Callithrix jacchus: one gene and its partners. The protein of the gene in region 3 interacts with the protein of the main gene of each other region in a pairwise test. Links are inferred from orthologs where the notes say so. Each region holds a gene or a part of one and is shown on either strand. Other genes may lie near its edges.

Region 1 (4,452 bases), on a different chromosome or scaffold from region 3:
GAAGTAAAAGCTTCACTTCTTCCACATTATCAGGCAAATCAGTATTCCAGGGCCTAAAAGTTTACAGAAAGAACACATGAAAATCAATGTAAGTGGTTATTTTAGTTGATTACCTTAGTAAGCAAGTGCTTCCAATATTAACCTTAGGTTTTATGTTTTTATTTTTAAAATGTACAGATATGAAGCATGAATGAGTAAAAATGTAGTTGACTTAACAAATAATTATCAGTCTAACCCACTCATTTTACAGAGACAGGAACTGAGAATCAGAACATGTAATTGCCTTCTTTCAAATCACAAAACCTGCATGGCAGAATCATGATCTAAACATGCATCTCCTGACTCCTAGTTTAGCACATGTCTTTTACACCATACAAATTCACTCTAGACACAGAATACTAATTATGTGAATAATGGTTTCACCAATACGCAAATCCTCGTCAACATGCTTTTGCTAAGTCTGGCTGATTCATTTATTTTCCATTTTTGTGTCTCCCTTCTAATAGATGATAGTCTGAAGATAAAATATCTCTCTAGGCAATTCAACAGAAAACTATACTATTTTCAGATTACGGTTCTGAAAAATACCCTGAAACTGTAAGGGGAGATGGAAAACATTTCTGGCCATCTGGCCGGCAAAAGGATGCCAGATCGCTGGAACAGGGTAAGTTAGCGGGGCTGCAGAGTTGGGCAACAGCTCAGCAGGAAGTTCTAAGGAAATGACCCTTATGAGTATATATAAACTTGTGCATGGAAGACAGCCTGACAGCTGTAGAGTCCATTTAGTCAGATGTGAAATAGTTCATTAATAGGGAGTTGAATGTCATTTCATATAGCTAATGAATGCTTCTTGCTAACAGTGATATTTACCATTTATTATTACTATTGTCCCAATATATGTAATCTCAAGATACAGCTACTACTAAACTCAAAGTGTTGCCCAGACTGTCATCCACCATTGATATCACCTGAAAATTTGTTAGAAATGCAGAATGTCAGACCTCTCCCCAAGGAGAATGCATCAGGATCTGCAGTTCAATGCAATCTCCAGATGAGCAGTATACACAATTAAGATTGAGAGGCACCGTCCAAAAGCAAGAAACTTGCCCAGAATCACAGGAGGTAAGAAAGGGAAAGAACTCGGGTTCAAATCCACGTTAGTGTACACTCCAAAGCCTGTGCTGTTCACCACTCTGCTCTTATTGCCTTGATTCCTTCTTAAGGGAGATCTATAGAACAATCTGATGTGAAACGGCTTATTCCTATCAATCTGAACAATTTACCAAGCTACAAGTGATTTTTAAAATGTTTCTTCTGGAATCCAGTCTGTAAACCATTATTTCTAAATGTCACACTATTTCACATTAAGATCTCATCTAAAAATCGAAATTCAAAAGCCACAGGGGCTTACAAAGGACCACTGCAAACTGGAAAGCTATTCATTAGGCTAAAGTTATCTTTAAAATGTTCTCCATGTGAACACAGGGGAAAACCGGCCTGTTACTCTTACTTGCCAGGAAACATGTTTGCTTGATGTTATTATCAAATTACTGGTTTTACACACACTTGTTTCTCCTTCTCCAGAGTTTGGCACAAGTGTCCCCCTCTCACTATATTCATCTCAACAGAAAAGTTTCATCCATTTTCACCAAGTTTCACTCATACTCACCCATGTAATGCTCTAACTACAGTTTTCTCCAGTGGGTGGTTGGTATATTTGCTATCTAAGCTGAATGCATATTCTGTTTCACATTTGAAAGTGATCTTAACGGAGTCATCACAGCTAAACACCACATGAGAACAAGAAGATTCTTTCACACTGGAAGACTTCGGTTGATCCTTGTGCTTCACCACAGGCTCGTCAGAAGGTTTTGGCTGAAGCAAAAGGCCAGGTTGATGCCGAAATGGCATGACTTTCCCCACTGGGGTTACTGCTTCAGGGCTTTTTGTCCCATTCTTGGGAAAGGGAGGGCTTGGTGTCTCTTTCTCCTGAAGATGTTTCTTTAACTCTTCTGTAAGGAGCAGAGCATATGAATGTTCCACAGAAACAGAAGAGCTCTGGCTGGCATCTGAAGATTCTAGTGTTTCCTCAGTAATTGCTGACTGGGCTTTAGCAGGGGTCTGGCTACAAGCAACCAAGCTTTCTTCATTTTGGCTAACAGTTAAGTCTGACCCAGAATTACTCTTCCTATCAGAGGATGGGTTAGGTAGTAATCCACCTTTTTGACTTTTAACTCCTCTATGATATTCATGGTCAGATGTGCCTCGCAAAGAATTTTCTTTAGAGAGCGAAATATCATTCTGTGGCAATTCAGAGGAACAGTGAAGATCTCTAGGCTCCGATACTGGTGTGGAAGAGGTAGCAGAGCTTAATGCTAGATCGGCTAACATATTTAGGGCCTGGGAGTCATAGTTGACAATGGAGTTCTCAGCAAGATCACTGTGAGCCACTGTGGTATTTTCTGGTTGAACATTATTTATGCTGATCCCATCTTCTTGACCATCTCTTGAAATTTCTGACTGAAGCTTTGAAACAGTTTCTCCTTTGACTTCAGTATAAAGGAATTAAAAAAAGAGAGATATTATGTTTGCTTGTCATAGAATTCTCTGCTGTTATTAATGGTAACTCAACATGTTCCAGAAATACTTATGTTACATATATTGCTTATTAAAAATTTACTATCAGATTAAGGTCTCTTCCAACCCTCAGATCTCTTATAACATATTAAACCAGAGGGACAAGTCTTAAGGAATAGGTATATTAATTTAGAAAGAGATTAATCTTCAAAACATATGTAATGAACTACATGCAAGACACACAGCTCAGCTCAAAAAAAATGTACAAACAGAAAAAAAACAAAAAGGACGAGAGTCCTGCCCTTCAGGAGCTTACAATCTAGTGAAGCTAGGAATGTTGAAGTTTCAAGTGTGTATTAAAGTTTGCTAACACACATTCTCAGCAATCATTTCCCTGAACAAGTAATCTATTAGAGAAACCACCTAAGTTCAAATAATTTTAACTATATAAATCTTTAATTACATGATGTAATAGAAATAAAAAATTAGAAGTCATAAGCGTATTCAGAATCATCAATTCCATACCTTTAAAATTTTGCTTTCATTACCAAAAACATTTGGTAATGAAATTTTTTTACATTATCCAAGAAAGAGTAAATCTACTGACAGTTTTCCTTTATGTAGAGAAATCTATCCATATGCCGTTAAACAGAACAATTATATTTGCCAGTGGTGTCCCTAGGTATTTTCAAGACATTAATTAGTCCTTCCTAAATGCTGTTATTATGAAGGATCAACTTCACAACTCTACTAGGCAATGATTACCTGCTGCAGGTAGAGAGATGAACAGAAAAGCCAACTGTGTTCCTCTTTATAATAGTAGCAGGTCCAAAATGAATTAACCTCTCCCCAGCCAAGGCCAATGAGTAATACATTTAAAGAGAAGAAAAAAGCTCCAGGCCTTTTTCTTCATCAATTAGAACGAGATAAGGATATGCACATACATGGGGAAAGGGTAAAACTATCAACCACTGCCCAGTATTTATGTAAAACAGCAAATCCAAAGGGGACAGGTGGATGAAAAGGACCCAAAGCGGGTAGTTGTCTTGTTAGCCCCACAGGTATATTGGAAACATAAAATTAATTTTATGATCTGATTCATTTATTGACACTAATTTCATTCTATCTTTGTTAATATTATGGCCTTTATATACTTATCCCTTACACAAAATACTACTTACAAGTAAGGCCTAATATAAAAGATACTGTATTGAAATCCAGAAAAAATGGTAGTTTAATAAACATATTATAGTCTCACACAAATCACCCAATTATTAACTTGTTACAAGTTCTCAATTAAAAAAAAAAAACCAATAATTTCTATCTATTTAAGACATACATAAGACAATGCCAAAGGAACTACATTTAAAAAGAAAGTTCAGTGTATAAAAAGGAAAGAAAACCATGTTTCGTTAACAAAAGGATTGACTTTAAAATTTTCATTTGATTCTAATTTAAATCAGTAATTTTCAAACTGAGGTCATCATGGCTGTTTCATCTGCCTTCTTAAACTTTGATGTTTAAAGTGTAAGACTTAAAATAATTAACATAGGTGTTTAAGAAAAAAAATGAGATTTTTAAAATGTAGTCATTGAAAAATGTCAACTTGGAATGTGATAACAATACATACAGATATTTGCAATACAAATAAGTTTTTAAAATATGTGTTCAAATATTTTGAAAATATTTTGAACACATATTTTAAAAACTTTAAATTTTCTGGGCTCACTTTTCTGTCAGTATCCAATTGTATACCTCTTCCCATTGAACAATTTTTCAATAAACATCTGAAGCCAATTCAGTGCAACAAATTCAAATAACACTGCTAGGAACACAAGATGTTTCTCATAATGTTTACAAATTTGAAAGATTGGA
Region 2 (5,213 bases), on a different chromosome or scaffold from region 3:
TGGAAGTAAGGTTAACGATGAGGAAAAGGAGAAGTTATGGAAAGTACTGGAAGTCTGGGGACATGAAATGGGCTGGAAAGGAAAGAAATTTAATGGGAGCTCCTAAACTCACAGGAGCAGAAAGGGGGCAAAAGGTTAGAATGAACTACCATAAATTGGAGGGGAAAAACAAGATGGATAAAGACATCGAAGATAAAAGTCAATTTTACCTAATGCACAACTCTGTCTCCAGCAGGATCTACTCCTCCAGGCTTAGTGGGTAGTAACTATCGGAACGTTGGCAGAGGTGCAGAAACTAAGAAATAAACCAAGACTACAAAATTGCCACTGTGCCTACCTCAGTACACCTTTCTTCCCCCACTCCAGGTAACACTCACATAGAAGGCACAGCACAAAATGAATGCCCACTGGTTGATTAGTAAGAAGTTGTAAAGTAGGCACAGAATGGCAAAGGCACCATCACACTGTTACCAAGCAAAGGAGGCTCACTGCCTGCTGCACTCCTAGAAGTCAAAACTATAACACTGGGTTTTTGAGAAAATAAAAACTTTTATAGAATGTCAACCAACAAGGAATTAGGAAGTCCAGCTCAAATCTGTCTCCCTGCGCTGGCTTTAGGGAAGTGATTTTATTAGAAAATGTTTCGAGTGTGAATTCAGGGACTATCAGGTGCTTGGTGGAAGGAATGAGGAGGTCTGGAAAGTCCTTGGGCATGTGCTCCTCTCTCTTCATGCTACCTAAGTGTTCCACATGCAAATTTAGGGAGGAGATAGTATGAAACATGCAGTAGAAATTCAGCTGTAAGGTCAGCAAGCTGGGTCTGTGCAGACTCCAGTTGGCCATATTGGTTCACAGGGATTTTGGCCAGTTTTATTAACATAAAAGCCCAGGCAGTTTCAGCATTTCAGCAAGTTGTTTCTTTTATCTGCCATTCTGTAAACTCAAGAATTTCTATGGCTTTTTTGTTGTTTCTGTTGTTTTGTTTTTACTCTTTGGCAGATAGTTTCAATGACCTTCTTCTCAGCCCTCACCTCCTGATTCCTGCAGCTCAGTTCTAACCTCCCACACTGTGTTAGTCGGTTCTCACACTGCTATAAAGAACTGCCCGATACTGGGTAATTTATAAAGGAAAGAGGTTTAGTTGACTCACAGTCTCCCATGGGTGGGGAAGCCTCAGGAAACTTACAATCATTGCAGAAGACCAAGGAGAAGCACTCACCTTTTTCACAAGGCGGCAGGAAGGAGTGGTGCTGAGAGAAGGGGGAAGAGCCCCTTATAAAACCATCAGATTTTGTGAGAATTCACTCACTATTACCAGAACAGCATGAGGGAAACTGCCCCCGTGACACAATTACTTTCACCCGGTCTCTCCTTTCACATGTGGGGATTATGGGGCTTGCAATTCAAAATGAGATTTGGGTGGGGACACAAAGCCTAACTATATCACACAACCTAACCTTCCCACATCCCATTCCTTGATGCGGGGGGAGGTGGGAAGAGGGGTGACACCGCTGTTTTCAGTCATCACAGGCACTCATGACCCTGTAGGTGCAGAGAAGGGGCTCACATTTATTTCTTTTGGGGAAAACTGAGGTAATCAAGGTGGGGCTAGGCCCTGGGGACAAGGCAAGTAAGGACTTTGCCACGTCCGCATTCACTAGAGAAGGAGCAGAAGCTCTGTTAGGGCGCCATCCCACGGGCTGCAGTTGCAGAATCCTGCAGACTCCATCCCCGATCTGGCCCCAATTTTTGCGAGGTGACCTGGGGAGGGAGGACAGATTGGATGCTCTGACCTCACCAGGGTCTGCGCTGGACCGTAGGTCTTCCTCCGCCCAGTCGGCAGAGAGAGTTTCCTGGCCGGCCCCAGAGAGCTCCAGATCTGACAGCCCTGGGAAAAGAAACTGAGATCACCTTCGCCGCCGCGGCCGCCAGAGGGCGCCTGGGGGCAGGGAGAGGGTGGGGCTAGGCGGGTCCGGCAGGAGGCGGGGCGGTGAGCCGAGAGGGGCGGGGCGAGGGGCAGAGAAGAGGGCCGGGGGCCGCAAGGCGGAAGAGGCCCTTTCACCACCGACCCGGCGCCTGGCGCTCTCTTCTTCACTCTTGGTACTGACGCGCGTTCTTGCCTATCCCGCAGCGTTAGGCTGGCTTCCTCCGAGGCCTCTAAGACCCGCCTACCGCACCCCGCCCGTCGCGCGGAAGCCCCCAGCTCCTCATGGACGCATCGCTTAGTGCCGCGGTCACGGCCACCGTCACAAGCGCCCCCAGCCCCACCCAACACCGGCCTGCCCGCCGTCCCTCTCCCGCCCCCGCACCTGCCTGCCAGCTCCACCGGGCCGCAGTGCGGGCAACCGCAACATTCCTGGCCCGCGGAGGCCGTCAGCTCCAGGAGGGGATGAAAGGCGCCGTCCCGCGGCGCCCCCAGATTCAGGTCCCAGGTGCGTCCGGACCCCGGAGGCACGGCTCGCAGAACGTTGACAGCCCGCGAGGTTCGGCCTCGGCCCCCGGTACCCTTCGTCCAAGCTACACCCACTCCTGGCCTTCCCCCCAAGTCCGAGGGAGAGGTGAGATTCTTCCTGACGCAGTTGGAAACTGGGAATCCCCTTTAGGGTAGGGTTCATGCTGCACCACTGACTCCACCATCTGCAAAGGGATTCTTGTGCAGAATCCCCGAATGCTTTAGGACAGCTCTTGGTTCTGTTATATGAAGAGTCTAATTTTCGGAAAGGCCACAGGCTTTTCATCAACTGAATTAAATTTCAGTTGATGTCCACAAAGCGGACTGGTACGAACCTGCTGGATGGTGGTCATTCTGGTGACTACTTGGAGACACCTTCCACTTTGTGGATTTGTTTCTGTTGAAATGTATTTCCATAGAATTTATTTAGGTCTCTGTTTACTACTGATTTGACGGCTTTAAGTGAGGAGGGAAGCCCGTGATTTCTGTGCAGCTTTAGATTGAACAATTTAGCAGCGCAAAATGTGTTTTCTGCCTGCCTTAACTCGATAAGCCAAATATGCCCTCCATTTCTTTTCTAGGTTGTGCCTTTTTAGCCAAGAAGCATGGAGGTCATTCACGGCAGGCCCTACTGTTGCAGGGAGCTGGAAGGCGCTGACATACTGTCCAACACCTTTTACTCTAATGAGTTGCACACCCCCCTCCAAATGGCTATTCGCCCAACTGCCTCAGAGGACAGGTAAAACAAAAACTAGAAAAAGCAAACAAGAAAAAGCAGTTTTAATGTATTAGTGTATTTTATTATGAGAGGAAAAACATTTATTTTCTGGGGCTCTTCTGTTGTTTGTTCGTTTGTTTTTGAGACATAGTCTTGCTGTCGCCCAGGCTGGAGTGCAATGGCGCGATCTCGGCTCACTGCAACCTCCGCTTCCAAGTTCTAGTGATTCTCCTGCCTCACCCTTCCGAGTAGCTGGGATTACAGGCATGCGCCACTGTGCCCAGCTAATATTTTTGTATTTTTAGTAGAGACGGGGTTTCACCATGTTGGCCAGGCTGGTCTCGAATTCCTGACCTCAAATGATCCACCCACCTCAGCCTGCCAAAGTGCTTCTGTTTATCACATCACAGTGAAGGCAAACGTGGCAATTAACTAAACCTTCGAGTGTCTGTAAGGAACCTGAGAAGTAAGTGGCTGTGTACTATGAAGACATCAAATTCATCCACTACATTGTAAAATTTTAGAATAGTCTGTTCCTTCATTGGGGAATTAATCTGTTTTAATCAAAGACTTTTTATTTTATAAAGAGAGTACTATATTGGTTTCCTAACATGCCCTTCTGCCATCTGCCCAAAAATACTCCCAGAATTTGCTGCTTATAGTTGTCTAAATTTTTGCTTTACCAAATTCCCTGTAACACATTAATTATACCATTATGATTTGAATTGTGGAAAGCAGTTTAGTGATTTCTCAACTCCGAACAGAATTACCATGTGACCTAGCAATCCCATTATTGGATTCTCAGTTGTTCTTATAAGTTGTTCTACCAAAGGAATATAAGTATTCTACATATAAAAAGATACATGCACAGGTCTGTTCATCAGCAAAGATATGGAATCAGCCTAAATGCCCATCAGTGGTTGACTGGATATAGAAAACATGGTACATATATACGATGGAATACTATGCAGCCATAAAACATGAGATCATGTCTTTTGCAGCAACATGGATAGAGCTGGAGGCCATTATTCTAAGCAAACTAACACAGGAACAGAAAACCAAATATCACATGTTCTCACTTATATGTGGGAGCTAAACATTGAGTACATAGGGAGACAAAGAAGGGAATAACAGACATCAAGGCCTACTTGAAGGTAGAGAGAAGGAGGAAAGCAAGGATCAGAAAACTACCTCTTGGGTGCTATGCTTATCACCTGGGTGACAAAATGATCTGTACACCAAACCCCTGCAACATGCAATCTACCTGTATAACAAACCTGCATATGTACCCCTGAACCTAGAATGAAAGTTTTTTTAAAAAAATTACAATGAAAAAAATTGCATCTAACATATCTAGTGATTACTGTGCGTTAGCACTCTACCAGATGCTTTGTATATAGTAATTATTTTAATTCTCATGAGAACCTTATAAGATAAATGCTATTGTTACCTGCATTTTGCATTTGAAATAACAGATAACAGACAAGTAATTTGCCAAGATCCTAGTGCCAGCACTTCCTGTATTGTATTTACTTGAATCATTTTGAGGAAAGAAAAAGGGAAAAAACACCTCAAAACACCTGGCCAGTGAAAAAATAGCCTGTGTGGTTGTCTACTTGTGTGTTTTGTGTTTTTTTAAGTTCACTTGGTCAAGTCTCTCATTTAAGAGTTCTTTAGGAAACCAGACAGGAAGTCACCCAGACTCAGTTTAAACACCAAAAAGGACAGCACTTCGACACCAGGCAGTCTATTCCATTTTTGAATGCTCCTGATTGTTAGATAATTTTCTTTATAATGAGAACAGTTTTTTTTCCTTATAATTTCTGCCTGCTGATTCTGGTTCCTCCCTCTGAAGCTATGCAAAATCATAATTCATCCTTCCCATGCTAGCAACCCTTCAAGATCTGAAGATTCTCTTGGCCCCTCTGAGCATTCTGTTTGCCATACTCAACACTGATCACAGATTCTGCTCCTTTTCCTTCTTGCACTTAGATTTTCACCATCCTGATCAGGCTTTCACAGATCTTTTCCAGTTTATAAACA
Region 3 (5,225 bases):
AGAATCAGGACTGCCACGCTGCTTATCACACCTCTCCTGCTTTCCAGAGTCTGCGGCTGTGCTGCTCTGTCCCTGCAGAGTATGCTGATACCATGTTCCTGGGAGTTTACATATTTTATTTCTCTTAACCCTCTACTTCAGTTATAGTAAGCTTTCAAAAGGAAGCTCAAAAAAGCATGTGTTTTATCTGCCATCATTCACTGGAAGGCTTGCCTCACTTCTCTTGCTACAAAATGAGATCCTGGATCAGAAGCAGGGTTGAATTTGGTTCCATGAAAATGAAAAAGGCATGAAATCTGTGGCTGGAGGGAGCAGCAGAAATGTGGCAGGCTGGGAAGGCAAACCCAGATTCAGAATATGTATCAGTAAAACGTTAGAAAAACGATCTGTTTCCGTTGCTAGGAAACACACACTCCATTAGTCACCCCCAAGGGCCCCTGGGGGTCAGACCCTCTCATGACCCCCGCTCCAGCCCTCCGGCCCCTCTGACGACCCCCGCTCCAGCCCTGCAGCCCCTAAGATGACCCCCGCTCCAGCCCTCCAGCCCCTCTGACGACCCCCGCTCCAGCCCTCCAGCCCCTCTGACGACCCCCGCTCCAGCCCTCCAGCCCCTATGACGACCCCCGCTCCAGCCCTGCAGCCCCTCTGACGACCCCCGCTCCAGCCCTGCAGCCCCTCTGACGACCCCCGCTCCAGCCCTCCAGCCCCTCTGACGACCCCCGCTCCAGCCCTGCAGCCCCTCTGACGACCCCCGCTCCAGCCCTGCAGCCCCTAAGATGACCCCCGCTCCAGCCCTGCAGCCCCTATGATGACCACCGCTCCAGCCCTCCGTCCCCTCTGACGACCCCCGCTCCAGCCCTCCGTCCCCTCTGACGACCCCCGCTCCAGCCCTCCAGCCCCTCTGACGACCCCCGCTCCAGCCCTCCGGCCCCTCTGACGACCCCCGCTCCAGCCCTCCGTCCCCTCTGACGACCCCCGCTCCAGCCCTCCAGCCCCTAAGATGACCCCCGCTCCAGCCCTCCAGCCCCTCTGACGACCCCCGCTCCAGCCCTCCGGCCCCTCTGACGACCCCCGCTCCAGCCCTCCGGCCCCTCTGACGACCCCCGCTCCAGCCCTCCGTCCCCTCTGACGACCCCCGCTCCAGCCCTCCGTCCCCTCTGACGACCCCCGCTCCAGCCCTCCGTCCCCTCTGACGACCCCCGCTCCAGCCCTCCGGCCCCTAAGATGACCACCGCTCCAGCCCTCCGGCCCCTCTGACGACCCCCGCTCCAGCCCTCCAGCCCCTATGATGACCCCCGCTCCAGCCCTCCAGCCCCTAAGATGACCCCCGCTCCAGCCCTCCGTCCCCTCTGACAACCCCCCGCTCCAGCCCTCCGTCCCCTCTGACGACCCCCGCTCCAGCCCTCCAGCCCCTAAGATGACCCCCGCTCCAGCCCTCCAGCCCCTAAGATGACCCCCGCTCCAGCCCTCCGTCCCCTCTGACAACCCCCCGCTCCAGCCCTCCGTCCCCTCTGACGACCCCCGCTCCAGCCCTCCAGCCCCTAAGATGACCACCACTCCAGCCCTCCGGCCCCTCTGACGACCCCCGCTCCAGCCCTCCGTCCCCTCTGACGACCCCCGCTCCAGCCCTGCTGCTGATTGCAGTGGCCGTGCCCATTTTACCTTTGGAGCTTATGAACCATTACTTGGCCACTGTCAATGCTAAGATCCCATTATCCTCCCTGAAAGCAGGGAGGCCACTTCAAAGGCAAAGGCTCCCACTCAGCCCTGACAGGTTAAAGTCGCCGGCATACCTCACCAACAAGGTCCTCAATGATGGGCGAGGTATCCTCTCAGCCCTCTCAGCAGACACGGGGGATGGGTCCACTCCAGCATTCGGGGCTCCCGTCTTTGGGTCCCTTTGTCACGTAAGAGCATCTGCAGCATCTCGACTCCTTGCATCACAGGCCTCCTGTAACCCAGAAGTCAGTGAGCAGGCGAGCAGGCCATCGGAGATGCTCTCGACTGCGTTGGCTCCGCCGTGCGCACCTGCTGCCAGGATACTCCTGAAATGAATTTCAACATCGCACAGTCCTCTTAGCAGCAGACCATGGAAGCCTCACTGGCTGCTGTGGCATCAGACAGAACCTTCAGGAGTGCTGCAGTCAGGGTCACAGGCTGCATAGCCCAGGTCGTGGCCAAACCAGCGCCAGCAGGGACAGATCCCTCCGCTTGCACGTGGACAGTGGGAAGCCGACTCCAGAAGTTCCGACACCGCTTTCCATCAGCCATCTTCGTCAAAACATGGATGCTGCGTGTCCCTGCTTCCTGATCTGAGCTGAAGTTTGGGACGGCACATACGATGGGTTGAGCTCAGTGGCATGTCTGTTTTCCTGGGGAAGCTGGGATTTTAAATAAATTCTGTTTTCTACCACAGAGAAGAAGTTCTACTTACGTGCGAACTGTCCAAAACATAGGAAGACTATTTAGGAGATGCAGGAAGGCCACCAAGTGTGGCCACCCAAATGTCCTGAGTTCAAGCCTCCTGTCTCAGCCTCCTGAGCAGCTGGGACTACAGGTGCATGCCACCACACCCGGCTAATTTTCGTAGTTTAGTAGAGATGGAGTTTCACCGTATTGGTGAGACTGGTCTCGAACTCCTGACCTCAGGTGATCCACCCACTGCCCTAGTCCCCCAAAGTGCTGGGAGTGCAGGTGAGCCACAGCACCCGGCACACTTAGTGCTTCTCTTAAATGACCCTGGGATATGCTAAGATTCCTAATGAAGGCAGAGCTTCCAGTTAAACATATGAGTAGACAGCCTAGATGAAGCTTAAAATAATTACACTGAGTGAATAATGTCAGACAAAAAATCAAAAAGAGTGCATACTGCACGATTCTTCTTACGTAAAACTGCAGGTAATGCAAATGAATCATGGTGACAACAGATCAGTGATGGGGGGTGTGTGGGAAGAGATGGAGGAGAGATTTTAAAGGGGATGAGGAAGGGTTCGTGGGTGACAGGTGTGTTCCCGTCTTGATTGTGGTGCTGGGGGTTTCACGGGTATATATACATATGTCAAAACTTATCAAATTGTACACTTTAAATACGTGTGGTTTGTCACATGCTACTTATGCCTCATTAGAGCTGTTTTTAAAACATTAGACTGCTTCCCATTTGCTGGCCATTGGAATTTCAATTTCTGTAAAATGGGAAAAATAATACCTACCTCATAATTTTGGTGTGGAGATTAAATCAGTAAAAATTGAAAGGATGAAATGAGATGACATCTTCCCTTTGGTTCAGCTAAAAGCCTTGGAGTCACCCTTTCTCCCCTCTTTTTCTACACCCACATACAATCCCTGGGGACCTCCGGGGGTGAGTAATAGAGTGGGTGCGGTAGAGATGAAACGGGGTTGGCCATGACTCAAAGACCTGACAATTATCGAAGTGGGGAGATGGGTCCATGGGAGCTCAGGATATTATCCTCTCTACTTTTGTACATATTTGTATTTTCCACAATAATAATTAAAAAAACAGTGAGGCCAGGCATGGTGGCTCACACCTATAATCCCAACACTTTGGGAGGCCAAGGTGGGAGGATCCCTTGAGGCCAGGAGTTCCAGACCAGCCTGGGCAAAATAGTGAGACCCCATCAGCACAAAAATTTTAGAAATTAGTTGGGTGTGGTGGGGACGGGGCGCCTGTAGTCGCAGCCACTGAGGAGACTGAGGTGAAGGATCACTTGAGCCCAGGAGGTCCAGACTGGGCAACAGGGCAAGACCCTGCCTCAAAAAATAAGGCTGGGCGCAGTGGCTCAAACCTGTAATCCCAGCACTTTAGGAGGCCAAGGTGGGCGGATCACAAGGTCAGAAATTGGAGAGTAGCCTGGCCAATATGGGGAAACCCCATCTCTACCAAAAATACAAAAAGTAGCCAGGCGTGGTGGCGGGTGCCTATAGTCCCAGATACTTGGGAAGCTGAAACAGGAGAATCGCTTGAACCCAGGAGGCAGAAGTTGCAGTGAGCTGAGCCCACGCCACCGCACTCCAGCCTGGGCAACAGAGCAAGATGCCATCTCAAAAAATAAATAAATAAATAACAGTGTTTCCCCTTTCAACTCAGAGGAAAACCGAAGTCCTGATGGGCCCACGGTCCCCACACTCACCTCTCCCCTTGCCTCCTACTCGCCTCCTCATTCACTGCTCCAGCCCGGTCGCTCTCCAAGCTGTTCCAGGAACATGCCAGGCACTCTCTTGCCTCAGGAACTTGGCTCCAGCTGCGCCCCCACCGGGAATCCTCTGACTCAACTCAATGTGATCCTCTTGGTGAGTCCATCCTGACTGCTCCGTTTAAAATCGTTCCCACCTCCTCCTGCCACTTCCCATGCGCCTTCCCTGTTCCCCTTGTCTGCACAGCCATGAGCATCGTCCAATGCCCTGAATAACTATTGATGTATTTCTGTCTCCCCCACCACCCTCGCCCCGACCCCCTGGCAAATGTAAGTCCCGTGACGCCTGATTGCTGACTCTTCAGCATTTAAAGCAGTGCACAGCTGGTGCTTGATGATGAATGAATGAGCCATATACACATGTTCTACTGGAATGCTTGGTAGAGTGACAGCTATGGGATCCATCACCATCTAAAAATATTTCATCAAGTCATTTGATAAATCTAAGTTAACTGGCCAGTATTTTCTGTCCTGGTCTTTGAAATGAGACTACGATTAATGACATTTTTGTTAATTCTTGGGAAGTGGCAAGGTAGGGAAGGGTTGCCACAGTCTTTGGAGGAGGGCAGATCTGTTTCAGATCCTGGCACCGCCCCATGCCCGCTCTGTGACTTGGCCAAGGTGCCCAGCCCTCAAGCCGAGTCTCCTCAGTGGCTGTGCTTGCCACAATGCCCTGCAGTCCCGGACTGGGCTGAAAGCCCACCACCTGCCTTGTCTGAGTGAGCCCTTGTCTTTTCAGCAACAGGGACTGATCACCTCCAGAGCCTGCCCAGGTGCTGTGTCCCTTTGGGACCTGCTGGTGGGGTGAGTGAGTGATGGTCAGTTGCACCATTGAAGAGGGACAGAGGCCGGGCGCGGTGGCTCACGCCTGTAATCCCAGCACTTTGGGAGGCCGAGGCGGGCGGATCACCTGAGATCAGAAGTTTGAGAGCAGCCTGGCCAACACAGTAAAACCCCATCTCTACTAAAGAAAAAAAAATTAGCTGGACATGATGGCAGGCACCTGTAATCCCA

Evidence for each region.
Region 1: the proteins of KLHL40 (region 3) and TASOR2 interact in binary tests that used the Homo sapiens proteins (3 or more experiments, as listed by UniProt). The two-hybrid records come from large-scale screens. The link is inferred for Callithrix jacchus from reciprocal best matches to the Homo sapiens genes KLHL40 and TASOR2.
Region 2: the proteins of KLHL40 (region 3) and SPMIP4 interact in a two-hybrid assay, tested with the Homo sapiens proteins (2 studies listed by BioGRID and IntAct). The two-hybrid records come from large-scale screens. The link is inferred for Callithrix jacchus from reciprocal best matches to the Homo sapiens genes KLHL40 and SPMIP4.

Annotation. Positions count from the first base shown.
Region 1 is NC_133508.1:8,041,894-8,046,345, forward strand, and holds part of TASOR2 (protein TASOR 2), read right to left. Parts: intron 2,550-4,452; coding exon 1,670-2,549; intron 54-1,669; coding exon 1-53.
Region 2 is NC_133512.1:32,871,977-32,877,189, forward strand, and holds the start of SPMIP4 (sperm-associated microtubule inner protein 4), read left to right. Parts: upstream 1-1,989; 5' UTR 1,990-2,309; coding exon of another isoform or gene 2,310-2,615; exon of another isoform or gene 2,616-2,641; intron 2,642-3,033; 5' UTR 3,034-3,057; coding exon 3,058-3,191; intron 3,192-5,213. Other genes in the region: uncharacterized protein LOC118143655, read right to left, coding at 2,310-2,615. UniProt on the Homo sapiens protein: Microtubule inner protein (MIP) part of the dynein-decorated doublet microtubules (DMTs) in flagellum axoneme. May serve to reinforce and thus stabilize the microtubule structure in the sperm flagella.
Region 3 is NC_133518.1:80,429,009-80,434,233, forward strand, and holds the start of KLHL40 (kelch-like protein 40), read left to right. Parts: upstream 1-1,953; 5' UTR 1,954-4,221; coding exon 4,222-4,308; exon of another isoform or gene 4,309-4,325; intron 4,326-5,225. UniProt on the Homo sapiens protein: Substrate-specific adapter of a BCR (BTB-CUL3-RBX1) E3 ubiquitin ligase complex that acts as a key regulator of skeletal muscle development.